Linked DNA regions of Callithrix jacchus. The main gene of each other region encodes a partner of the protein of the gene in region 4 in a complex. Links are inferred from orthologs where the notes say so. Each region holds a gene or a part of one and is shown on either strand. Other genes may lie near its edges. The genes, in order: MED18, MED23, MED19, CCNC, MED12, CDK8 and MED13L.

Region 1 (2,976 bases), on a different chromosome or scaffold from region 4:
ATATGCTGAAACCCCAACTTGAAAAAAAAAAAGAAGAAGAAGAAAATTAACTTTACTTGCAGTGAGCCAAGATTGTGCCACTGCACTCCAACCTGGGCGACAGAGCGAGACTCTGTCTCAAAAGAAAAAAGATGACACAAATGTCACATAGGGAGGAAAAGAGTATTGATACAAGAGAGGACTAATATTGAGTCCTAGTCCTCCAGTGTTTAGGGAAGATGAGAAACACCAAGCAAAGAAGACTTAAAAGGAATGGTCAGCGAGTTAAGTGAAGAACCAAGAGAGTTGTGTCTCAGAGGCCAAGGGAAGAATAGATTTCACAGTGGGTATAATCTACTATAACAACCATTTCAGATGTTGCCAAGGGGATGAAGATTCTATGAAGCAATTAATTCTCTCCTACTTAGATACAGAAGAGGAAAGCTTTTCCTGATAAAAAGGAAACTTTAGCTGGGCGCGGTGGCTCACGCCTGTAATCCCAGCATTTTGGGAGGCCGAGGTGGGCAGTTCACGAGGTTAAGAGATCGAGACCATCCTGGCCAACATGGTGAAGCCCCATCTCTACTAAAAAATACAAAAATTAGCTGGGCATGGTGGTGCATGCCTGTAATTCCAGTCACTCAGGAGGCTGAGGCAGGAGAATCGTTTGAACCCAGGAGGCAGAGTTGCAGTGAGCTGAGATCATGCCACTGCACTCTAGCCTGTGACAGAGCGAGACACCATCTCAGGAAAAAAAAAAAAAGGAAACTTTATATTTCTTCTATAAATGAAAGACTTTTATTTGTTGGAAATTGAAGGCAATTGTTAAAGTATATGACAACAAAATAGTGTTATTGGCTGGGCATGTTGGCTTACGCCTGTAATCCCAACACTTTGGGAGACCAAGGCCAGGAGTTCAAGACCAAGCTGGACAACAATGTAGTGAGACCCCATTTCTATAAAAGCAAATAAATAAATACATAGCTAAAACAGTATTATTAATTTTTTTTTTTTTGAGATGGAGTCTCACTCTGTTATCCAGGCTGGAGTGCAATGGTGCGATCTCTGCTCATCAAAACCTTCACCTCCCAGATTCAAGTGATTCTCCTGCCTCAGCCTCCCGAGTAGCTGGGATTACAGGCACGCGCCACCACACCCAGCTAATTTTTGTGTTTTTAGTAGAGATGGGATTTCACCATGTTGGCCAGGGTAGTCTCAATCTCCTGACCTCAGGATCTGCCCACCTCAGCCTCCCAAAGTGCTGGGATTTCAGGCATGAGCCACCATGCCCAGCCAGTATTATTACATTCTAGATAGACACTGTAGCTGATTAAAGGCTCTAAGTCCAAGGCATGTTGGAAATTAGCATTAGAGAAGGCCTAAAGACTTTGTAGTACTAAATAAGAAAATTCCAAAAAATTGAAAAGGAAAATAATAACTGTCTCACAACGTTATACAATATTTTGCTAGTGTAACTCCTCTAAAATCTCATGTGTTGGCCCTATGTGTTGTGAAATGCTTCACTAAACTGCTTTGGTTTTTCATTTTAATTTTTTTCAATTTTATGCTAATTCCATGACCTAAAAGGAAAGATAGGACTCAGAGGTGCTTTTTCCCTTTTCAGGAAGTGTTTTAGATCACAGTTTGGAAAGCCTCATCCACCGCCTTCGTGGTTTGTGTGACAACATGGAACCTGAGACTTTCCTTGACCATGAGATGGTATTCCTCCTTAAGGGCCAGCAAGCCAGCCCATTTGTTCTAAGGGCCCGACGCTCTATGGACAGGGCAGGGGCACCCTGGCATCTGCGCTACCTGGGACAACCAGAAATGGGAGACAAGAATCGCCACGCCCTGGTGCGAAACTGCGTGGACATTGCCACGTCTGAGAACCTCACCGACTTCTTGATGGAAATGGGCTTCCGCATGGACCATGAGTTTGTTGCTAAGGGACACTTGTTCCGAAAGGGCATCATGAAGATTATGGTTTACAAGATTTTCCGCATCCTGGTGCCAGGGAACACAGACAGCACTGAGGCCTTGTCACTTTCCTATCTCGTGGAATTAAGCGTAGTTGCACCCGCTGGACAGGACATGGTTTCTGATGACATGAGGAACTTTGCAGAGCAGCTAAAACCTCTGGTTCACCTAGAAAAAATAGACCCCAAGAGGCTCATGTGACTAAGAGAATCTCTCCACATTTGGGGCCTGTCCTTACTTGTTTGAAAAAATGTTTTAAATGCTCCATTTCACCACTGCCAGCATTCTTCCTTCAGGGAGGAGGATGCCTCGTGATGATTTCGTTTTCATGACAGCCTTTCTACATTAAAGGCTCAGGACATCACAGAGAATCTATCTAATCCCACTGTATAAAGAGGAGAAACTGGAGTAAATTAGGTTTTGGAAATAAAAATTTCTTGTTTGGCCATTTGTGTGTAAGGTTTATAACATTAGAGGCTGTGAGCTTGTGCTATATGGTAATAAAGGCAGTGGCCTCGAATTTTGTTTAGGAAGTCTTTATTTACCCCTAGGTAACACAGATTTTCCTTCTTAGCTTTATAGTTTTAACTTTCACATTGAGATCTTTAATTCATCTAGAGTCCATTTTCTAGGGGGTTTATAAAAACCCAGGTTTCTTCTCCTGGCAGTGAATTCGTTTTTCTACCACCATCCAAAGAACAGTGTTCAGTGCTTTGTGCTGCTACCATTGTCACATAGGTTTCCATGTAGGTATTTTATTTTTAAGTTCTCCATTTCATTTCATTTTTTTTCTTTGTTTCAGTGACAGCAACACAATGTTTTTATTATTAAGGCTTTATAGTAGAGCCAGTTCTACCAGTAAGGCAGGTACCCTTCCCTTTTTGTCCTCTAAAATGGACTTACAGTGTAGTGTAGTAATATTTCAAAAAATAATAATAAAAGAAAATAGACTTAGCATCCAGGTATGGTGGCTCATGCTTATAATCCCAGTACTTTGGCAGGCAGGACAAGAGGATTGCT
Region 2 (3,500 bases), about 33 Mb from region 4:
CTTTGACTTATATAAATGCTTGTAAACTCAAAACCAGGTGCCTTTTTGCCCAGGGGCTAAGATTAATCACTTTGATTAGTTTGTAACACTTTACTTTTGCTGTACAACCTCAAGACCTAATGGCTTAAAATAGTAATACTCAGGTTTTAAAATTATTATTCGTGGCCCTGGTGGTTGACTGGGCTAATGAGGCACTTTTCCCTCAAAGTCTTTATGATGACAATTGATGTAGCCAGCACTGGGGCGTAGGAAAAGCTTACCCACTTACATACCTGGTGGTTGGTTCCTGGCTGTTATCTGGAATCTCAGCGGAGATTATTAGCCAGAACCTACACAGGCCTTTGCCTTGTAGCTTCGACTTTCTCACTTCATGGTGGAGTCTAACAGCAAGTGTATGAAAGAAGACTAGGCAGAAGTTGTCTCACCTTGTCATGGAAGTCATACTGTATCCTTTTGGCCATGGTCTTAGGCCTTCTCAGATCTACAGTTAGATAACGTAGACCTTCCCCCATCTCTCCTTGGGAGAAATGTCAGTGTCACACTTGAGAAGAAAATGTGGGATCAAAAATCTTGCCACCCTCTTGGAAAAATCCAAGGGGATAGATGGTAAACATGTAACTGAAAACTTTAGATAGACGTCTTTCTAGTAAAAATATAGCATAATGAATATTATTTAGGTCTTTGTTTTTGATCTTTTATATAAGTAAAATATGTTAAATGCTACACATATTTATAAGTGTGCTTAAGTAATAATGCACTTTTGTGAAAAATACTTGCTATGATAAATATAATACTTAGTCCACAGATTTTAACTGTGTTAGTCTGTCTCATGCTGCTAACAAAGACATACCCAAGACTGGGTAATTGGTGAAGGAAAGAGGTTTAATTGACTCATAGTTTAGCATGGCTGGGGAGACCTCAGGACACTTACAGTCATGGCAGAAGGCACCTCATCGCAGGGTGGCCGGAAAGAGAATGAGTGTCCAGCAAAGGAAGAAGCCCCATATAAAACCATTAGATCTTGTGAGAACTAACTCACTGTCATGAGAACTGGATGGTGGAAACTGCCCCCATGATTTAATTATCTCCACCTGGTTTTTCTCATGACACATGGGGATTATGGGAACTACAATTCAAGATGAGATTTGTGTGAGGACACAGCCAAACCATATCAGTGGCTATTAGAGAACTTGGAAAATTCTGTCTGGTAACTGGAATGGCTGTTTCTTTTTTATAGGCTGGTTTGTGAATCCCTGATAAACTCAGACACTCTTGAATGGGAAAGAACACAGCTTTGGGCCTTAACATTTAAGCTGGTTCGGAAAATAATTGGGGGAGTGGATTACAAGGTATATTTTTCTCATTATAAAAAGTGATTGCTTTCAGATGTGATTGATTTTTCGGTATGCCTATCTTACTTTCAGGTGAGTGAAATGATGTGGAAGCATTTACAAAATCTGTCTATTGTGGTATATTTCCTGGAGAGATTTAAAATTACTCAGTGTTCCCATGGCTCCTCTACTCCCCTCTCAATGTTCTTATAAATACAGGTGGCTGACATATTTTTATGAAGACTAGGGAAGTCACAGAGCAGAATCTGTATTCCTTCATGCTGCAAGTATTGTGATGTTAGCATCTCTTCAAATGAAAGAGCACAGAGCAGGGGTGTGTGGAACAGAGAAGGGACAGAAGCATCACTGATGAAGGAAGCAAGACCTGCTTCACCTCTAACTTGACCTCCCTTGGACACAACTAAAACAACTGTTTTTCCTCAACTAAAATCCTTAGCACTTGGGTTCTTGACCAAAACAACATACACTTTCTAATTTTATCTCATAAACGGCTTACGGACTCCATAGCTACAAAAGCATTCTGCATTTTCAGGAGACTTTGTTATTGTCCTTTTTCCAAGAATTACCCAGTACCTGACCCTGTGCTTTTTTTCTGTGTTTTCTCTAATCTGAAATGACTTAACATATAATGACCTGACAGATAATTAATAGTTTTAATCATGATTTATCACACAGTTAACTCTAAGAAGCTTTTGCTGATTATTTTCTCTACTCAGACTTAAGCAATTTTTGCCTTCTTATTTGAATGGTACTTTATAATTATTATTTTATGTATATGTTATGTCTTTTATAAGCTTGGTTACATAGCGCATAATAAATGCATGTTGATTGGAAGTTTTTCTATATATATCAGAGTAATGTAACTGGTATTAGATATGTGGAGATGATTAACAGAATAGCCTTGGATATCCTTGAGAGATTAAGGTATGTGATGGATGAGAAGGGAGAATAGGCCAGTCACAGTAGCTAACACCTGTAATCCTAGCACAAAAGGGAGTGAGCAGAGAGAGTCATCTACCAAAAAGTTCAATATTGTTATTCAAGTTTTCAGAGTTCTTTAAAGTCCTGTTCTAATATATTTCTGTCTGTATGTAGAATAAATTAAGATTTTTGACTCTTATAACAATGGAAACCCTTCTAATGTTATGAGGACCAAAAAAGCTTGACCAACTGTATAATGACTTTCTTTGTTCATTGTATTGTAAGACAATGTTTAGAATTCTGTTTTGGAACATGACTCTTCTCTTGGGTTAATGTTACGGACTTAGATAGTAACTGATTCAGAAAATTTAAGGATGTGACTTTGAAGGAATCTATAACCCTGAAACCTTTGGATGTTTTTAGTGTCTAACACAGTAGACACTACTTAATTTTAACCCATGTCTTTTTTCTTATATCAGGGTGTTCGAGACCTCTTAAAAGTGATTTTGGAGAAAATTTTGACAATTCCTAATACAGTGAGCTCTGCTGTTGTACAGCAGCTTCTGGCAGCAAGAGAGGTAATTTAGACATGTCTGAAATTCATTGATCATAACCTCAAAAAAGTCTACCTTTGTTTAGGTCTGTGCTTTTAATACTTATGATATTTCTTCTACCAAAAAAAAAAATCACTTCTATTTTAAAAGATGCTAATTCCCTTATATTTCAGAAGGACGTTTTAAATTTTAATTCATGGTTTTAAATTAGGAAAACAATGGTATTAGAAATTAAAATAGCTTGAACCATTACTAGACCTCAGCATATGGACCACTTAAAAGATCTTTGTACTTTGTAACTAATGTTGCAAGAATTGTTACATTGGTCTGTTGCTCTCCCATGTAAGTATGCCAATATTTAAAGCATGTTTAAGGTTCTTTACTAACGATGAACAATCCATTCCATTGTTTATTAATCTTTACTTTTGGATATTTTTTACATATGTATTCTTTTATGCTACAGTTGAAACCCAATAAATCCACAAAATAATATCTCTACATTTTATTTTAATTGACAAGTAGCAATTGTCTGTGTATATATATATACATTGTGGAATGGCTAAATCAGGCTATTTAACATATAGGTTACCTCATATACTTATTATTTTTTTAATTTTGTAGTGTATTTTAGGTTTTGGGGTACATGTGCAGAACATGCAAGACAGTTGCATAG
Region 3 (3,945 bases), on a different chromosome or scaffold from region 4:
TTTTTTTTTTACAATTCCTTTACAATCGCCCCAAAATTTTATCCACTTTCACATCCTCACGATCCAGCAGAGTGCCTAGAGTGTACACTCTAGAAATGTTTACTGAATTAAGAAACGGCTGACAGTGTGTGCAGCTAGTGTGGCCAGAAGAGCAGTTTCAAGTCCCAGGCACTCATTAGTTGTGTGATCTGGGGCAAGTCGCCTAAATATACCGAGATCCATTTCTTCACCAATGAAACAAGAACATTACTACTTCCCTTGTCTACCTACTGGCTCCTCAGGAGGCTTTACTTAATGAGCGGCACTGTAAAACGCTGTACACGTCTATGTAGAGTTTTCATAGGGCTGTTGATTAGTGTGAATGGTGAAATGGAAAGAAACCTGGACTCCGCAGTCAGAAGCTGTTGGGCCGCTCGCTGACTTGATGATGGTCCGGACCCTGTACTTAATAGTTTGTAAGTCCGCTACAGGCTCGGAACCTCAAGTGTCCTCAGAAAGGGAAAGCCCAGGGTTCCCAGTCAAGGTCGCGGGGTACTAAGACGCGGGACGCTCACCCAGTCAAAGTCACACGGGTTGCCGTCTTCGCGTTGGGTAGGCAGACCGTTGCAGAGCGGCGGCAGTTTCCTCACGAGTAGGAAGGCAGCAGAGAGCAGGGCCGACAGAAGGTAGTAAGGTTGGGCCAGCCATCGTGAAAGTCGCGGCACAGAATACACCAGAGCAATTAGAGGTGCCAGGATCGCCATCTTTTTGGCCGTTAGGGCCGGGGCTCATTGGCGTTGTAGGTCTGGCCCCGCCTCCCTCACCATAGAGACTGCTATTGGGCCGTATCTCAAATGTACCGCCTCTAAATCCGGATGTAGCTCTCTGGACGCTGTGGTAGGTCAGAACCCAAATAAGAATTTAACATATTATTGGTTAGTCTAGTTGTCGCTTTATCCACCTAAGTCATTTTATTGGACTGTAGCAAACGAAGCTAGCAGAAGAATCTAATAAGGTTAAATAGCACTTTCTAAACGTTCTCATAAGGCGACGGAAGTAGTTGCTGAAACAAGGTAAGCGGTGCCTGAGGCATCCAATGACAAGAGGCTCCTTGAGAAAGAGGGCGGTACCCTTAAAAGCATTGTCCAATGAAAATTACCAACGCCAGACATCTAGGCAGCGCCGAGGCGGAGGGGACGATGGAGAATTTCACGGCACTGTTCGGGGCTCAGGCTGACCCACCACCGCCCCCAACCGCACTCGGCTTCGGACCAGGAAAGCCTCCACCCCCGCCACCACCTCCTCCAGGCGGGGGTCCCGGCACGGCCCCGCCTCCCACCGCAGCCACGGCCCCTCCCGGCGCGGACAAGTCAGGAGCTGGCTGTGGCCCTTTCTACCTAATGAGGGAACTGCCAGGTGAGTACACGGCCTTGCCAAAGCCAGCCAATCAAATCTTAGAGAGGAGGTGATGGGCGTGGTTCTCAGCCGGCTAGCGGAGGTGCCAGGTAACCTAAGAAAGACAGACTCGGACTGTGGAGCCATAAGTCGGAAGCGCTGTTAGGATTCACAAGCAGAGGGATGACTTGAATTCAACCAAACGGCGGGGGAGAGGGACGGTGAATCTCCGTGACACTGGTTTATGTCTCCCTAAAAAAATGATCCAGGACTGGGCGCGGTGACTGATGCCTGTAATCCCAGCACTCTGGGAGGCGGAGGCGGGCGAATCACCTAAGGTCAGGAGTTCGAGACCAGCCTAGTCAACATGATGAAACCCCCCCTCTCTACTAAAAATACAAAAATTAGCCGGGCATGGTTGCGTATACGTTTAATCCCAGCTACTCAGGTGGCTCAGGCGGGAGAATCGCTTTGAACCCGGGAGGCGGAGGTTGCGGTGAGCCTAGATTGCTCCACTGCACTCCAGCCTGGGCGACAGAACGAGACTCCCTCTCAAAAACAAAAGATCCAGGAGATCCAGGGTTTCAGTTAGGAACTTGAGAGGCCTGATTTAATATCTTTGGGGACCCAAAGTTTTAATTTTGCTGTTGGTTTGGGGCAAGTTGCCATTATTCCTTCTAAGGTTCCGGCGTTTCCTGGTCTGTTCTAAGAAGGGATAAGAATCAAACCAAACTCTTTTCATTCAAAAATTAATTTTGTTGAGTTCCTATGTACCAAGCACTTTTGTAAATGCTTGAGATACAGTTATGAACAAGACTGACAAGATGCTTGCTTTTTTTTGGAATGTACATGTCAGTGGAGGAGGCATTGTAAACAAGATTATATCAGAGAGTGATTAATTCTAGGAGGAGAAAACATGATAAAGAATTGAAAGGGGCCAGGCGTGTTGCTCACACCTGTAATCCCAGCGCTTTGGGAGGCCCAGGCAGGAGGATCCTTTGAGTCCAGGAGTTTGAGACCAGCCTGGGCAACATGTCGAGACCCAGTCTCTACAAAACATACAAGAATAGCCAGGCACGGCAGTCCGTGCCTATAGCCCCAGCTATTGGGGAGGCTAAGGGAGGAGATTCTCTTGAACTCAGGAGGTTTCGGCTGCAGTGAACCAAGATAGTGCCACTGCACTCCAGCCTGGGCAACAGATGAGACCATCTCTCAAAAGAAAAAAATGTTGAGGGCAGAACTACTTTAGTTAGAGTGACCAGAGATGCTCTTTCCATGTAGCTAACATTTGAACTAAAATATAAGCATAGACAAAGGGCCAGCTATGGATGGATAGGAGGGAGAGATAATACTAGATACAAGTAATGAGGTCAGAAACCCTGATGTGAGAAAACGCTTAGAATATCTGAGGGACAGAAAATCAGTTGGACTCCAGTGAAGTGAACGAAAGGAAAGAGTCTTAGGAGAGAGAGACAAAAGGAAAGGTGGGAGAGTTAGGCAGAGGCCTTTATAAAGTAATAAAGGCATTTAGATGGCAAATACCAAAGGAAGCCGTTTAAAAAAAAATTTATAGAGGCAAAGTCTCACTGTGTCACCCAGGCTGGACTGCAGTGGCATAATCATAGCTCACTGTGACCTCGAATTCCTGGGCTCATGCTGTCCTCCCAGCTCAGCCTCCCAGGTAGCTAGGGCGACAGGCATGTGCCACCATGGTTGGCTAACTTAAAATTTTTCTGTAGAGATAGGGTCTTACTGTATTGTCCAAGCTGGTCTTGAACTCCTGGCCAACAGCAGTCCTCCTGCCTTGCCCTTCCAAAGTGCTGGGATTATAGACGTGAGCCACTGTGCCCAGCCAAGGAAAGCCATTTTAACACAGGAACTTGGTCAGATTTACTTATTTATAATCATTCAAGCAGCCACATGACAAATAGAAAGTGGGGAAGTCAGAGGTTACCACTCATAGTCCAGGAAAGATGATGGTTCAAACCAGGGCATAGCAGGGCATAGAGAAGTAAATGGATACAGGATGTTAGAGGTAGAGCTGATGGGGATGAAAAGTTGAATATAGGGCCAGGCGCTGTGGCTCATGCCAGTAATCCCAACACTTTGGGAGGCCGAGGTGGGAGAATATCTTGAGCCCGAAAGTTTGAGACAAGCCTGGGAAACATAATGAGACACATCTCTACAAAAAATAAATATAATTTAGCTAGGCATAGTGATGTGTGCCTGTAGTCTCAGCTACTTAGGCGGCTGAGGTGATAGAATTACTTGAGCCCAGGAAGTTGAGGCTGCAGTGAGCCGTGACTGCACCACTGCACTCCAGCCTGGATAATAGGGGAAGAAGTGAAGGAGAGAGTAAAGTGAAGGAATGATGTCTTCTTAAGTTTTCACCTTGAATAATTAGGTGTATGGGTATGGAGACTTGGAAGATGAGGAAGGAACAAGTTTGAAGAGGTGGAAATCAAGTTTTCTGGACATGTTAGGTCTCCAAGATGCCTTTCATTATCTCAAGTCTTATTTCCACATCATGACTTGAGGGAAATAATAACAAATATTGGTATGGTACTCTGA
Region 4 (3,500 bases):
TGTCAAAGCATCAGCAGTGGTAAAACATTGGGATAATTAGGGTGCCTATTTAAGATTTTCCCAATATACTAGTCAATACAGTTGATACAAATGAGATATAGAAAGAATGACAAAAGAATAACAAAATTATCAATATGTGGAAATAAAATTTATGAGAAAACTCAGTTAATTGAAAAGTTATTCAAAATAATAAAAGTTTAATCAGGTGACCAGTTACAAAATGCAAAAATAAAAGCTTTTTAAAAATGAATGGGCTGGTCGTGGTGGCTCACGCCTATAATCCCAGCACTTTGGGAGGCCGAGGCGGGTGAATCACGAGGTCAAGAGATCGAGACCATCCTGGTCAACAAGGTGAAACCCCATCTCCACTAAAAATACAAAAATTAGCTGGGCATGGTGGTACACACCTGTAGTCCCAGGTACTTAGGAGGCTGAGGCAGGAGAATTGCTTTAACCCAGGAGGCACGGAGGTTGCGGTGAGCTGAGATCGTGCCATTGCATTCCAGTCTGGGTAACAACAGCGAAACTCCGTCTCAAAAAAAAAAAAAAAAAAAAAAGACTGATAGGAAAGTATAATTTACATTAGCAACGGAAAATATAAAATACAAAGGGAAAAATATGAGGAAATATACAGAAGCTGTAGGAAGAAAACTTTAAAACATTGTGGCACGTAGAGATTTCAATAGACTTTGAATTCTCGGTAAGATGTCATTTCTCCCTATGTTGATCTTTAAATGTAATTCAGTCACAAAATTTGAATGGATATTCTTTGTTAGGACTTGACATAATGCTTCTAAAGTTTAGGTCTCAGAATAACAATTGCAATAGGATAGTCAGAAAATTTCAGAAGAATAGTAGCAAGGGAGTATTTTTCATACCAGCAATTACTTACTTAAGTTTCTGTGTTTTAAAATAGCACAGCATATGAACAAGAAAAACAAAAATAGGAAATTATATATAATGATAGAACTATAAATCAGGATATACCTTAGCACATTTGGATAATCATTTGACAAAATGTTTAGCTGGATCCTTACTTTATACTCTGTACCAAAATTCCAGATGGATCATATAAATTGAAGGAAAAAAGCCCCTAAGGGTATTAGAAAACATGGGTGAATAGTTTTTTATCATTTTGGAATCAGGGAAGGACTTTTTATGCCTGACAAACATGAAAGTAAAAGACAGGTAGATTTAAGTAAGTAATTCAGCTTTCTCTATTATAAATAATTAAATACTGAGAGATATTTAAACTTGGGAGAAATTTTACAGTTATTTGACAAGCAAATGACTTATCCATACTATACAAATTTTATATCAAAAGACTCTCTTAATCATTAAAAAAATAAGTAATCACATTAGAAAAATGGTCCTATTAGAATTAACATTGTATAAAAGAAGAACTGCATTTGAACAGTGAAGATATGGAAAAGATGTTTAACCTCAAAAGTTAACTACAGGGGAAAGAAACAGTGATATACTACTTTGCCTTTAAGTTACAAAGTATTTAAAATTGGCAGTAACCAATAGGATTAAATATTTTAGGATTCACTCATAAACTGTTAATAGAAATGGAAATCAGTATAATGTTTTTGGAGGGTAAACTGACAATGTGTGTCAATAAGTTACCAGCAACACTGACCCATTAATTCGACTTCTGGGAAGTTATTTCAAATATATTATTAATCAAATGGGCAAGGAAAATTACAATGATATTTATTAAAGTATATTTGTAACAGAGAAAAAATGATAACCTATATTTCCATCAGTAAAGATTGGCTAAGTGATCCATCCATAAAGTTATGTAAAAGAATGCTGAATAACAAGTTCCTTGACATAAGACTTCCAATAAGTATTGAATGACAAGGTTCAGCATAGTTTTTTCTTTGAGTCATGTCAATTTCATATCTCCAGTTAAAAATAGTACACTCGACTAAGCAAGAGGAGGAGGCTATCAGTGTAACACATTCTGAGGCAGTTTTTAATATAATTAGATTTGTGAAATAAGGAAATTAAATGCCATAGTTACTTATGAACAGCTGAAAAACTATATACTTCAAACGTAAGCCACCATCAATTGGTGCCAAATAATTCTACCATTATCTTATATCACTAAGAAAGAATAAACATGCTGCCAAGCGGGGCATGATGGCTCACGCTTGTAATCCCTGCACTTTGGGAGGCTGAGGCAGGCGGATCCCCTGAGGTTGGGAGTTTGAGACTAGCCTGACCAACATAGAGAAACCCCCATCTCTACTAAAAAATACAAAAATAGGGGTCCAAAGGGGCTCCTGCCGGAGGTCGTGACGCTTGCGAAGGCGAGGTCATGAGTTCAAGGCTAACCGGAGCAACCTCATAAGCTCAAATTGATTGGCCAAAAAAAAAAAAAATAGCTGGGCTTGGTGGTGCACACCTGTAATCTCCGCTACTCGGGAGGCCGAGGCAGGAGAATCACTTAAACCCAGGAGACGGAGGTTGCAGTGAGTGGTGATCGTGCCATTACACTCCTGCCTGGACAAAAAGAGCGAAACTCTGTTCAAAAACAAACAAAAAAACATGCTGCCAATTACAACACAAAGGCATCACAGATTGTAAGACATATTTTGGTATCAGAGTCTTAGAATCAATGAAATATAAGTTTGTAACAGAAAGACTAAGGAGGAAGAAGGAAAAGATTAGAGCAAGTTTTTTCAGTACATATTTACATTTATTAGTGAGATATTATTCACCTAATTGACTTTAAGGTTACTTTTTGCACTTTGTGCTTCTCAGAATATGAACAACCTGTTCAATCAGAGTGTTTTCTCTGACTTTGCTTGTTGATTTTCTGTAACATGTCTTTTCTAGTTTGCAATGGATTTTGGATAAACAAGATCTGTTGAAGGAGCGCCAAAAGGATTTAAAGTTTCTCTCGGAAGAAGAATATTGGAAGTTACAAATATTTTTTACAAATGGTAAACTTTTTAAGAAATTGGTTAAAATGTTATAGTTGATTACCTCTGAATTAAAATGTTTTTGTGTGGTAATTTGTGAGCTATTTTAGTCCATACCTAACATTTTTATTTATACATGTATTTTTTTTTTTTACAACTTTTTAGTGATCTAAATAAAGATTTTTTGGTGTGAATTTTACATGTCACAGGCACTCAAGACAATTTGAAAGTATTACCTAATCTCCCTCAGGCTTTATAATAATTATTAGATGCAGTTCAAGGTTGGCTAAAGCAAAGTACTTTGACTTTGAGGATAAATGAGTCTTTGGATTGACATCCTATAGTGGACATTTCTATCTTAGAACTTTGTTTTGAAGGGAAGAAGATTTAGGGATAGGTCTTTGCTTTGTAGTAAGTCTGTCATAATTTTTTTTAACCTTCATTTCACTGTTTTGTAAACATTTCTCTGTTTTGAGGATTTATTATGGATTTTTTTTTTTCTTGGTGAACTGTATAAAGTGGTAGTATTAGCTGGGTGTGGTGGCTCACACCTGTAATCTTAGCACT
Region 5 (4,021 bases), on a different chromosome or scaffold from region 4:
TAGGCTGGCCTTGAATTTCCGACCTCAGGTGATCCGCCCTTCTTGGCCTCCCAAAGTGCTGAGATTACAGACCTGAACCACTGCTCCCGGCCTTGAATTAATTTTTCTTTCCATTGTGATTCAACAGCATTTTGTTATTTTTGTTACTGGTGTTATTTTTGTTTCTTGTTATTTGTTACTTTTGTTACAGCACACGGCTGTCTTTTCTCTAAAAGGCTCGCCTGTAGTCCCGGCTACTAGGAGGCTGAGGCGAAAGGATGGCTGGAGTCCAGGAGGTTGAGCCTGGGCAACAGAGGGAGAACGTGCCTCAAAATAAATAAATAAATGGCAATACGATAATAGGATATTGGCTCTGGAATCGAAAATCTTAGTGCTGGCTCTGTTACTCAGTAGCTGTATAATATTGGGTAAGTGAATTTTCACACTTTGAAAACCAGCTTCCTCATCCGCAAAATGGAGCCAATAATAATCCCTAACTCCTGAGACTGTGAGGAGATTAAAGGAGATAATGTCTGAAAAGCACCTGACACAGTAGGTGCCCCTTTCGCTAGACCAAGGGTTCTTAACCTGGAGTTCATGGACCCTTAGGGGATACATGGATGAATTTCAGGGGATCTAAGAATCTCCTTGGAAAGTAACATTTTGCATGTCAATATATGCATTCTGAGAAGGTCCATAGCTTTCATCAGCACCTTTAAGGGTTTGTGAATCAAAAAAGTTAGTCTGTGGTACCCTTGGGCAGAAAACACAAAAAAAGGTTAGGTAACTCGATTGTAGACCTTGAGGGATTAGAGCCAGCCTTTCAGGGTTTAATAGGTTCTTTCTTATGCATACATAGTTTCTAATGTTCACAATAGCCCCTTGAAGGAGGTGTTAGCGCACCTATTTTTCAGATGCCAGAACTAAGAAACGAAGTAATCTGTAATAGATGGAGTTTCTAACCAGTGCAAACATTATTTAAAACTTGTCTAGGCCAAAACTGAGCTAGGCTCTGGGAACCGAATTCCAGTCAGAACTCAGCACCACAGAGGCCTCCCTCTTCCCTGGTTTGCATCCCCAGCTCATTCCGCGCCTCCGGAACGTTTCATAGGTTTTTGCTGAGTTAAATCGACTTGCCGCCGCCACCGCCGAAAAGCTCCCGAGGCACAGAGCTCCGCCCCCACCGCGCCAGGCCCCACCCCCTCTGTGGTCGGTATTGTCCGATTGTTCCCGGCGTCCCTCGGCTTCCCTCGGTAGTTTCCGGCAATGGTCGAGAGTTTCTAACGTGCCCCCTTGTCTCTCGGCCGCCGTCCTCCCAACCACCGCCCCCCTTTTCGGCTCCCTCTCCCGGTTCCCGCTCCCCTAGTCAGCCTGGCCCTGCTGGCGCCTCAGGCGCTACGGGCTGGTCAAGATGGCGGCCTTCGGGATCTTGAGCTACGAACACCGGCCCCTGAAGCGGCCGCGACTGGGGCCTCCCGATGTTTACCCTCAAGACCCCAAACAGAAGGAGGTGCGTTCGATAATCGGGGCTCTGGAGGGGCCGGGGGCACGCGATCAGCCTAGGAGGAGGCATTGACGGCCAGGAAGGGGGGGCGGGGCGGTTCGGTGGGAACCAAAGTATTGAAAGGGGGAAGAGTAAAGTGGGGTGGCGTGGGAGGGCAGAACAGGGGGCGGTGGGGGGGTTCCAAGGTATGAATAGGGGGTGATGTAGGGGGCCGCACCAGAGGCGCCCTCCTCCACACACACCTCAGAAAGTTGTCTGAGGCAGCTTGGTGGGGTACGGCTGCTCGCAAGAAAAGAGTGATGTTTGAGGGTGCGTTGGGTGGCTGGGAATCATAGTGACCAAAGGGGTGCGGGTGGGGTCCAAGTGAATGTAAGGGCCCAGCTGTAAGTAACAATCTGTTCTACACGGAACCCTCCTCCCCGCCTGTCCCCTTGTTCCTTCGTTTCTCCTGCCCTCCTCTCCCACCACCTCCCACTAAGGAAAACAAAACTAAATGACGCTTTCCTGCCTCAGGATGAACTGACGGCCTTGAATGTAAAACAAGGTTTCAATAACCAGCCTGCTGTCTCTGGGGATGAACATGGCAGTGCCAAGAACATCAACTTCAATCCTGCCAAGGTGAGACAACTCTGCCAGGCTGAAGGAAAAGGCTGGAAAAATCTGAGAAGGAGCAAAGGCCCTGGGTTGGGAAGACTTAAAGGGACAACCTAAGTGGCTGAGTTTACCTTCATGACTTAATGATATCTCATTGACATTTGACCATCAAAAGGCAGGACCACCTGTCTCCCCTTCTTCTCACCCTGAGGTGCAGTTTTCTTCCCTCAGATCAGTTCCAACTTCAGCAGCATTATTGCAGAGAAGTTACGTTGTAATACCCTGCCTGACACTGGTCGCAGGAAGCCCCAAGTGAACCAGAAGGACAACTTCTGGCTGGTGACTGCACGATCCCAGAGTGCCATTAACACTTGGTTCACTGACTTGGCTGGCACCAAGCCACTCACACAGCTAGCCAAAAAGGTGAGGTACTGTTTCCTGTCCTTCAGGCCAAGGAGGGAGCATGAGGTACCAAGTACCCTCCTATTCCCATATTAAGCTACATGGGTATCAGCTCATGGGGTTAATAGAGACCTCACTATTTGCAATGTCCATCCAGGTCCCCATTTTCAGTAAGAAGGAAGAAGTGTTTGGGTACTTAGCCAAATACACAGTGCCTGTGATGCGAGCCGCCTGGCTCATTAAGATGACCTGTGCCTACTATGCAGCAATCTCTGAGACCAAGGTTAAGAAGAGAAATGTTGTTGACCCTTTCACGGGTGAGTAACTCCTAACACCAGGTATACTGCTGATGGCTTCAAGGAGTGATAGAGACACCCTTGGAACCATCCTCCTTCTTAATCTAGATTCCTTGTTTCTGCTTGTTTCTTGCATTCGCTTGATCAGTAAACACTGAGAAATTTGAATATCTACTTTGTGCCTATACTGGGCTACAAAGATGTCCAGTGCATAATCTCTGCCCCCAGGATACTGGTAGTCTAGTAGGGCTACTAAGACATATGTACAAATAACATAATCAAATATAGAAAGTGGTGAATGTCAAGCCAGGAGGCAGAAGGTTCTTTGAGTGGACAGAAAGATTACTTTCTTATGGGGATACCTGGGAAGGCTTTAGGAAGGTGGGATTTGACTAGAGACTAAAAGGATGAATCACATTTACAAATACGGTGATTGGGGGTGGAGGTACGGTATTCTAAGTAGAAGGATATTCTCATCAGAAGGATAGTATCAAATAGCCCTTTTCCCCTCTTTCCTCCAGAATGGACTCAGATCATCACCAAGTACTTATGGGAGCAGCTACAGAAGATGGCTGAATACTACCGGCCAGGGCCTGCAGGAAGTGGGGGCTGTGGTTCCACGATAGGGCCCTTGCCCCATGATGTAGAGGTGGCAATCCGGCAGTGGGATTACAATGAGAAGCTGGCCATGTTCATGTTTCAGGTAGGGAGTAGGGCATGTTGTGTGGGGCATTGGGTTGAGCCTGAACTTGTACTCTGCCAGCAGAGAACAGAATCTGCCTGCCACCTTGCCCCAGTTGTGGTTCTCTTCATCTTTTCATTTACTTTATCTGCCTCATCTCCAATAGTCCCGTGTTGAGCTAATACTCTTCCCTCCCTGGTACCCATAGGATGGAATGCTGGACAGACATGAGTTCCTGACTTGGGTGCTTGAGTGTTTTGAGAAAATCCGCCCTGGAGAGGATGAATTGCTTAAACTGCTGCTGCCCCTGCTTCTCCGAGTAAGGCTTGGAATTTTGGTGGTGGAGGGGGCAGAGGGAGTCTAGGAAGGATTTGAGGAAGAACAAAATGTTAGAGCAGGGTCCCCTGGGGAGAACTAGGGGCTCTGATGGTCCTGTCTTCACAGTACTCTGGGGAATTCGTTCAGTCTGCGTACCTGTCCCGCCGCCTTGCCTACTTCTGTACACGGAGATTGGCCCTGCAGCTGGATGGTGTGAGCAGTCACTCATCTCATGTTATATCTGCT
Region 6 (3,500 bases), on a different chromosome or scaffold from region 4:
TTATAAAATAAGGAGATAAAAGATTTTAAATAAAATAATATTCTTTTATGAGAGGAGAAAGCACAAACCCATGAAAATATGCTCTCCTTGGATGCTTCTCTCTGTTCTTTGTTATTTTATGAAAAGTTACAAAATTTTAATCAACTTTACTATGTAATTTAAATGCCTGAAATTAGGTACTGTATCTTATAGGGTTGCAAAATTTAATTTTCATGTTATCATTGGTGTTAATGAATGTTGCATCTTCTAATGTTGCAAATAATCTTTGATATTTTCTAAAAGGGATTACAAACTACAGATTTAAGTTCAATTGTTATGTGATGTCAAAGCCTAGACAACTCGTAGAATGGGACAAAGTTTTGTAAATCATGTATTTGATAAGGCATTAGTATCTAGACTATGTAAAGAACTCCTACAACTCAGCAGCAACGACAGAACAACCTGATTTAAAAATGGGCAAAGGACTTATTAAATAGACGTTTCTCTAAAGATGATCTACAAGTGGTCAGTAAGCACAGGAAAAGATGTTCAACACCATTAGTCACTAGGGAAATGCAAACCAAAACCACAGTGAGATACTACTTCATACGCATTAGGATATATGTTAATTTTTAAGGACAAAAAGGGACAAATAACCAGTGTTGGTGAGGATATAAAGAAATTGGAACCCTCATGCATTGCAGATGGGAATGTAAAATACTACAGCTGCAAGTTTGGTGGTTTCTCAAAAAGTTAAACATAGAGCAATAATTTGATCTGCGTTTTCCACTGTTAGGTTTATGCTCAAAGCATGGAAAGCAGGGACTTTCTGCAGGTAGTGGTATACCAGTGTTCATAGCAGCATTAATCACAATAACCAGAGGTGAAAGCAACCCATGAAGATCAATAAAGGAATGGATAAACAAAATGTGATATGTATACATATGCTTACAGTGGAATGTATTTACCTGTAAACAATGAAATTGATACTCGCTACATCATGGATGAAGATATTAGGCTAAGTGAAATAAGCCTGGCATGAAAGGATACATATTGTATGGTTCCACTTACATGAAATACCTAGATTGGGAAGATTCTTAGGGACAGAGAGTAGAGTAAAAATTACCAGGGCCTGGAGAAAAAGGCAGTGGGGTTATTGTGTAATGCAGGGGTCTCTGGGCCAGCACTGGTACTGTTAGGAACTGGGCTGCATAGCAGGAGGTGAGCCACAGGCAAGCAAGCATTACCACGTGAGCTCTGCCTCCTGTCAGATCAGCAGTGGCATTAGAGTCTCATAGGAGCTCGAACCCTATTGTGAACTGCGCATGTGAAGGATCTAGGTTTTGTGCTCCTTATGAGAATCTAATGCCTAGTGAATGATCTGAAGTGAAACAGTTTCATCCCAAAACCATCCACCACCACCCCCTTGTACCCCGTTGTCCGTTTCCATTGTCCGTGGTAAAATTGTCTTCCACAAAACTGGTTTCTGATGCCAAAAAGGTTGGAGACCACTGGTTTAATGGATTCAGAGTTTCTGTTTGGGATGACAAAAAAAAAAAAAAGAAGCCCAAAATGGATAGTGGTGTTGATTGCAGAACACTGTGAATTTACTTAAAGGATGCCACTGAATTGTACACTTAAAAATGGTTAAAATGGTAATTATTATGTTATATATATTTTACGACAATCAAAAAATTAAAACAAAATAACCAACCAAACAACAACAAAATAGATTTACTCAGATATACCTGTTCAGTGTCTTTTTCTCACAGATTTTTTCTCATTTGTTACTGAAGCATTGGTCTCAAAATTGTATGGGCGCTTATTAGATTTTTAAGATTGATCTCCTGGGGTTTATATTGCCTTTGAATTACAAATGGTGTGGGTTTTTTAACACTATTTTGTGGCAGAAATTGTTAATGGATCTCCTTTGTTTTGCAGTTACTTCGAGAGCTTAAGCATCCAAACGTCATTTCTCTTCAAAAGGTGTTTCTCTCTCATGCCGATAGGAAGGTGTGGCTTCTGTTTGACTACGCTGAACATGACCTCTGGGTAAGGTGAATTGTTGGCAGACTTGAACGATTGGTTCCAGTCAGGGATTGTTAAGAGTAACTAAAAACAATTAGGTGTTCTGCTTATTATGAGACTTATGTTTTTAAAATAAAAGTAACCTCACAGAATGTGGTTGGTGGCATTACCAAAGCTAGAGTATTTGGATTTGTATTATTACTCTTCAGTCTTGTCACTTTGATCTTTTAACAGATACTAAAGAAAACAAGGGACTCTAAAGAGTGTTCAACAAGTATTCAGTATTGCTTCATACAGGTTTTTGACCAAATAAAAAGTAACTGTAAAAACTACGAAATTTTGCTCTAAAATATAAAAGTAACATTTTCTTTTATTCCATCGTATAAAGAGAATATAAAGTGAGAACGCGGTGTCCTCATGAAGGAGGACCAATATACTATCTTTGGAGAGATCTAATAGTTCTACTGATATTTGTCATACAGCATTAGGCAAATCTTTTAGTGGCTTTGAAGCTGTAGTTTACCCCATCTATAAAAGGTTATACTTTCTTGCCTTTTTTTTACAATGTTTTTCTGAGGAACAGTCTTGTATTTGAAAAATTTTATTAATGAGACATACAAATATAGGAAACTATTATTATTAACTATTCACAATTGAGATTTAATATTCTAATTCTTGTTTTCATTGGCATTAATTTAATTTAGTATAGTCATGCACCATATAACATTACTGTCAACTGCGAACTGCATATGTGATGATGGTCTCATAAGATTATAGTGCCATATTGTTACTGTACCTTTTCTGTGTTTACATATGTTGAGATAATACACTTAATTACTATTTTGTCGCATTGCCTTCCTTATTCAGTACAGTAAGATGTATAGGTTTGTAGCCTAGGATCAGTGGGCTCTGCCATATAGCCTAGGTTTGTAGTAGAGTCTATCATCTATGTTTGTGTAAATACACTCTGTGATGTTTCGACGACTGCAAAATCACCTAACAATACATTTTTCAGAATGTATTCATTAAGTGATACATGACTGCATTTTACATAATTGAATTGGGCATTATCTTATATTGGAAGAATTCTTTATGGATGAGAGCTTTATTACAAGATGAGATTAGTATGGAAATAAATTTTAACATCTCTTATGACTTTTAGTTATTTTTTTTGTGTTCTGACCCATGATAAGAATAGTTTTAGGCCAAGTGTAGTAGGTCACACCTTGTAGGCCCAGCACTTTGGGAGGCCAAGGCAAGAAGATCACCTGAGGGTTTGAGACCAGCCTGGGCCACATGGCAAGACCCTGTCTCTACAAAAAATAAAAAAAAAAAATTAGCTGTGCTAAGTGGCACACACCTGTGGTCTCATCTACTCATGGTGCTGAAGCCCAGGAAATCGAGGCTACAGTGGGTCCTGTTCACACTGTTATAGTCCAGCCTGGGCAGCAAAGCAAGATGCCATCTCCAAAAAAAAAAAGAATATATATTCA
Region 7 (4,214 bases), on a different chromosome or scaffold from region 4:
TACAGAACTTTAATCTCTTATTTCAATCTAATATGAGTATCTAGGTAAATTCTTTATAAATACCTTCCTCTGCTCAAAAATGAAACCCACAGGCCAAAAGAAAAAAATGCATGCTATTATTAAACACATAGTGTTCTTATAAAAAAACATGCTTTATTTTGAACAAGGAATGATTATATTTCCTTCAGAAGTAACTGTTCTATACAATGTAGTTTAGGCAATGTATTTTTAATATTTCAGGTTGCTGCTGCTGTATAGCATTTTCGAGAAAAAAAATCTCAATTTGAAATCGGAAAAATGTACAAGTCAGCAGTTTAATTAATTCAGTGTTTTAATAGCACCTTATCCACACTTCATGTACAAGAGAATGAAGACATTCCACGTTCCTTTAAAAATATCTATCACCTAAGCACTTCGATGGTTCTCTATTTCAAAGTTGCTACTTAAAAAATAACTTTAAAAAATTAGATTCAAAAATGAATCGTGGTTTTAAAGAGGTTTTGGGAGAAATATCTAAAACACAAACCTTTATAGTCAGTCAAAATCAAAGTATCCTCTCCTACAAATGGGTTTCTCCAAAAGAATCTCAAGCATTTTATCTCTGCACCATTATCATCCTTACTTAAGCTTTTTTTTTTTTTTTTTTTTTTTCAAAAAAAAAAAGATAAAACAAATGGTAAACCCTAAAGACTGGCTATACATACACTTTCATTTGTCTACAGAATCTGTAAATACACAGTCATTACCAGCCAGCATAGTATGTGATAATTTGGGAGATCTCTGTACTTGTTTATTGTAATTACCTGTGTCACTGTGGTCACCAGTCACCACACAAAAACCATTTTAAATACACTTTGATCAGTATGTTTTGCCAATCTATGAAAGTCCCTGAACCTGACTGATACTAAATGACAGACTGAGGAGGGAAAAGAGGCAAAAGAGGTTTCACTCCTACATACCAAAAGATCAAGGGAAAATTATTACAATACTAAGAGAAAGAGTTACAACTTATAATTGAATTTTGAGATTAAATATCTGGATTAAAATATTTCATAAAATTTACCTGATCTTACTAGAGCGGGAGCAATAATAATGTATCACTGGGTCTTTGTAGGTAAAAATCACGTGTTGGTTTTTTGATCTGCATAAATACTGTAACACGTTTAATAAAATAACACGTTTGGAAAGTTGGCAAGAATTTGCATTTCGCCATTAGTCTCATAGAAAAAAAGCATCCATGCCACCCATAATTAAATGTAACTAATTACAATTTGAACACTAAATTATTTATCCAGTGTAAACAAGGATTAAGAGGGAAATAATGCTTCTATCTACAGCGGGGGTTACAGAAAATAATTTCCAAAATGCATGCTCTCCAAAAAGGACTCACCTCCCCCACCCAAAAAAAAACCAGGGTACACAACTTAAAGTAAGTTGGGTGTTTTTAAGGCTAAATTAAATAAACCGTTCAGCCAATTTTCCAATTATATTCTACGCTTGAAACGTAATTGCCTTACATCTGTTTACAAATCTTCGCTCAATATTTAAACAAATTCGTACTCTCCCGGGCACATAGCTATACATACAGTAACTCATGCACAAAGCACATATTTAAAGACCACGCACTGCAATTATTAGCCTAAACGCCAGATTTAACAACGTGAATGTTTTCAGAGGTAATACGACCCAATAAAAAGCAAAGATGGCATTTACCACCAAATGTCACTGCCACCGCCAGGAAAGAGTTGCTGGGTCCCTATACATTTTTAATTTCGATGAATCTAGACGCCGTCGGCGGGTGCCAGGCTTCCACGAGAACAATTGACACCCTAACTGCTTCAAGATTAAGGCAGGCGATTCAAATCCGAAGGAAAAGTTGTCAATTATCAGAGAGAGAGCGCGAGAGGCGAAGGCAGATAAAAGCGATGTTATCAAACCGCCCAGCTTGTTGCTTTTTTGTGTGTGTGTCGATTCGTTGTTAGGATAGAGAAAACAGTTTTTAAAAAGACACCGGAGGAGAGAAAGAAAAAGCTTTCTCCACCTTCCGTCGGCTCGGTGCAATGGCTTTACGGCTCTCCACTGTAGTAAGCCCCGAGAGGCAGGCGGCTGTCGATGTTTACAATCGCGGGAGCTTCGGGTGCAAGAGTCCTTTCCTGACACAATCGCATTCAATCAACTGTTTTCGGGCGGAATTGCAGGTGTCATTATGGAATTTAAAAAAATTCAAAAGGCAGGCGGGCGGGCAGGCAGCCCGATTCGACAAGGGGGGAAGAGGTTGCCGATCGGAGGCGCGGGCAGCACAAGGCAAAGCCTTCCACATTTAGGGGGGAAAAAGGGGGAAAGGGGAGGAGAAGGGGAGTGCGATTGCAACAGAGGGTGGGCGTTCGAAGTGCGACCCAGAATCCGCAGCTCTGAGACTTCCACATGCAAATTCCACGCCGAGCGCCGCGCTCACAAATGATTTTTAAAGAGCCAAATAAACACTGGATGAGATCCAAGGCGAGGGAGAGACGATCCAAAAGGGGGAGAATCGGCGAGAGGCGAACAGCGGGGAGACGCGAGGGAGGGGCGAAGTCCCGGCGGCGGGAGGAGAAAGTTGGTCGGCGGCGGAGGTCGGGGACCCCCCCTCCCCGGCACAGCCCCCTCCCCGCAGCCCGGCTACTCACCAGCGAAAAGAGGTTGGAGTGACAATCCTCCAGGCTCGCCCCGTTCGCCACCCAGTTCGCTGCCGCAGTCATGATCCTCCGCGAGCCCGGCCGCCAGAGCGGGGCATGTCGGAGCGAGGCGTCCGAGGCGAGGTCGGGCCGGGCGGCGGCGCCTCGCCGAGGAGCGCGGGGCGGCCGGGCCGCCGCCGCCGCCGCCGCCGAGGGAGGGCGCGAGGGCCGGCGGGCAGGCGGGAGGCGCCGCGGCGACGCCGCGCCGGGGGCGGCGGGCCCGGGCCGGCGGGGGGGTCCGCGGCGGCCGCGCGGCTCCTTCCTGCTCGGGCGGCGGCGGCGGCGGCGGCTGCGGCGGCTTCGGCGGCGGCGGGGGGCGCTGTCCGCGCGGCCCGGCGCCCTCCCCGCCTCTCAGGGCCGCCGCTGCCTCCCGGGCCGGCTCTGCGGGCCGGCCGCCGCCTCCGCCTTCCCTGCTCCTCGGCCGCCGCCGCTGCTGCCGCTGCCGCTGCCGCCGCCTTGTTTATCTCCAGCCACCGACTCCCCCTCGGCCCCCGCCGGCGCGCGAGGGGAGGCGAGCCCCGGAGCCGCCGCCGCCGCCTCGGAGCCGCCGCCGCCGCGGAGCGCGAACTCGCGAAGGGGGGGGTGCGGACGAAGCCAGCGGGCGACCCCGGCAGCCGAGCGACGTCCCCTCCTTCCTCTTCCTCCCCACCCCCCCCTCCTCCCCAGTCAGCCTCGCTTCTCCTCCCTCCCCGGGCTAGCTCGCTCTGACAGCAATGGCGGCCGCCGACCGCGGCTCGGCCCGCCATTGGCTGGCGCCGGGTCACGTGACGGGCGCCGGCCGCGCGGGGGGAGCAGGAGGCGGGCGGGGGAGGGGTCCGGAGTGGCGGCGGCGGTGGCGGCTCGCGGGAGGCGCTGCTGAGCCGAGCGCGGCCGGGTCCTCAGGCCGGGAAGAGGGAGGGAGGGAGGGAGACGGAAAGGGAGAGAAAGAAGTGCGGGCGGCCGGGCTCCCGGCGGGCCATGGACTGCCGGCCTGTGGCTACCGTGGGCTGCCCCGCGTGGCCGCCCCACCCCCTCGCGGTGCACGGATCGTGGCGGGGCGGGACCATGGGTCCCGGGCGTACCCGGGGCGGCCACGGCGGAGGGCGAGGGTCCCCAGGCCTGTGTCCCCGCTCTCCAGGCCGGCTGGCGTGGCGCGGCGGCCGCTCAGTGGGCCAGGCAGGGGGTCCCAGTGCTCTGGGGAGTGTGTCCTCGAAGGCTCGCGCCGCGGTCCGCCTTTTAGAGAGGAGAAAACTGAAGCACAAAGGGATTAAGTCACTTGCCCGAGATCGCACACCTGGGAAAGAGGAGTCCGGATTCGAACCCGCGCACAGTAAAGCCAAGCTCTTGGACTAGGTTTCACAGGCTTCGCCCAGGGATATTCACGGCTGCCGTAGAGTAAGCGCTCACTGTGTTCCAGGCACTGTGCGTTTAATACGGAAATGTTTATTGAACCCTTACTCCTAGTTACTGTGTGCACTCATTCATTCATTCATTGCTTGTTTCCTGAGCTCCTGCTATAGT

The links.
Region 1: CCNC (region 4) and MED18 share a complex: the UniProt entries of both Homo sapiens proteins name them as parts of the mediator complex. The link is inferred for Callithrix jacchus from reciprocal best matches to the Homo sapiens genes CCNC and MED18.
Region 2: CCNC (region 4) and MED23 share a complex: the UniProt entries of both Homo sapiens proteins name them as parts of the mediator complex. The link is inferred for Callithrix jacchus from reciprocal best matches to the Homo sapiens genes CCNC and MED23.
Region 3: CCNC (region 4) and MED19 share a complex: the UniProt entries of both Homo sapiens proteins name them as parts of the mediator complex. The link is inferred for Callithrix jacchus from reciprocal best matches to the Homo sapiens genes CCNC and MED19.
Region 5: the proteins of CCNC (region 4) and MED12 are in contact, whole or in part, in a cryo-EM structure (PDB 8TQC), measured with the Homo sapiens proteins. The link is inferred for Callithrix jacchus from reciprocal best matches to the Homo sapiens genes CCNC and MED12. Residues at the interface, in NP_005181.2 of Homo sapiens: Gly3, Asn4, Phe5, Trp6, Gln7, Tyr11, Ile15, Asp17, Gln19, Asp20, Lys23, Gln49, Glu53, Leu57, Arg58, Gln59, Ile62, Tyr153, Arg157, Pro158, Gln161, Tyr162, Asp165, Leu173, Pro174, Trp177, Arg178, Ile179, Asn181, Asp182; in NP_005111.2 of Homo sapiens: Ile6, Leu7, Ser8, Tyr9, Glu10, Pro13, Leu14, Lys15, Arg18, Leu19, Pro22, Asp23, Val24, Tyr25, Asn47, Pro49, Ala50, Val51, Asp54, Glu55, His56, Gly57, Ser58, Ala59, Lys60, Phe64, Pro66, Ile69, Asn72, Phe73.
Region 6: the proteins of CCNC (region 4) and CDK8 are in contact, whole or in part, in a crystal structure (PDB 5CEI), measured with the Homo sapiens proteins. The link is inferred for Callithrix jacchus from reciprocal best matches to the Homo sapiens genes CCNC and CDK8. Residues at the interface, in NP_005181.2 of Homo sapiens: Met1, Ala2, Gly3, Asn4, Ser8, Ser9, His10, Gln13, Phe72, Tyr76, Lys79, Ser80, Ile81, Asp82, Leu85, Leu93, Lys96, Val97, Glu98, Glu99, Phe100, Gly101, Val102, Tyr130, His134, Leu136, Glu137, Glu139, Phe140, Tyr141; in NP_001251.1 of Homo sapiens: Met1, Asp2, Tyr3, Asp4, Phe5, Lys6, Leu9, Arg13, Gly58, Ile59, Ser60, Met61, Cys64, Arg65, Ile67, Ala68, Leu69, Arg71, Glu72, Leu73, Val84, Leu86, Ser87, His88, Arg91, Lys92, Val93, Asn145, Trp146, Val147.
Region 7: CCNC (region 4) and MED13L share a complex: the UniProt entries of both Homo sapiens proteins name them as parts of the mediator complex. The link is inferred for Callithrix jacchus from reciprocal best matches to the Homo sapiens genes CCNC and MED13L.

The regions. Positions count from the first base shown.
Region 1 is NC_133508.1:65,007,660-65,010,635, forward strand, and holds the end of MED18 (mediator of RNA polymerase II transcription subunit 18), read left to right. Parts: intron 1-1,603; coding exon 1,604-2,157; 3' UTR 2,158-2,476; downstream 2,477-2,976. UniProt on the Homo sapiens protein: Component of the Mediator complex, a coactivator involved in the regulated transcription of nearly all RNA polymerase II-dependent genes.
Region 2 is NC_133505.1:138,270,974-138,274,473, reverse strand, and holds part of MED23 (mediator of RNA polymerase II transcription subunit 23), read left to right. Parts: intron 1-1,237; coding exon 1,238-1,349; intron 1,350-2,752; coding exon 2,753-2,851; intron 2,852-3,500. UniProt on the Homo sapiens protein: Required for transcriptional activation subsequent to the assembly of the pre-initiation complex. Component of the Mediator complex, a coactivator involved in the regulated transcription of nearly all RNA polymerase II-dependent genes.
Region 3 is NC_133511.1:115,289,779-115,293,723, reverse strand, and holds the start of MED19 (mediator of RNA polymerase II transcription subunit 19), read left to right. Parts: upstream 1-1,145; 5' UTR 1,146-1,178; coding exon 1,179-1,395; intron 1,396-3,945. Other genes in the region: TMX2 (thioredoxin-related transmembrane protein 2), read right to left, coding at 555-743. UniProt on the Homo sapiens protein: Component of the Mediator complex, a coactivator involved in the regulated transcription of nearly all RNA polymerase II-dependent genes.
Region 4 is NC_133505.1:105,604,484-105,607,983, reverse strand, and holds part of CCNC (cyclin-C), read left to right. Parts: intron 1-2,847; coding exon 2,848-2,954; intron 2,955-3,500. UniProt on the Homo sapiens protein: Component of the Mediator complex, a coactivator involved in regulated gene transcription of nearly all RNA polymerase II-dependent genes.
Region 5 is NC_133524.1:68,398,451-68,402,471, forward strand, and holds the start of MED12 (mediator of RNA polymerase II transcription subunit 12), read left to right. Parts: upstream 1-1,221; 5' UTR 1,222-1,390; coding exon 1,391-1,489; intron 1,490-1,996; coding exon 1,997-2,101; intron 2,102-2,308; coding exon 2,309-2,500; intron 2,501-2,636; coding exon 2,637-2,796; intron 2,797-3,296; coding exon 3,297-3,478; intron 3,479-3,665; coding exon 3,666-3,776; intron 3,777-3,901; coding exon 3,902-4,021. UniProt on the Homo sapiens protein: Component of the Mediator complex, a coactivator involved in the regulated transcription of nearly all RNA polymerase II-dependent genes.
Region 6 is NC_133506.1:145,522,819-145,526,318, forward strand, and holds part of CDK8 (cyclin-dependent kinase 8), read left to right. Parts: intron 1-1,920; coding exon 1,921-2,031; intron 2,032-3,500.
Region 7 is NC_133510.1:119,303,266-119,307,479, forward strand, and holds the start of MED13L (mediator of RNA polymerase II transcription subunit 13-like), read right to left. Parts: upstream 2,801-4,214; 5' UTR 2,739-2,800; coding exon 2,667-2,738; intron 1-2,666. UniProt on the Homo sapiens protein: Component of the Mediator complex, a coactivator involved in the regulated transcription of nearly all RNA polymerase II-dependent genes.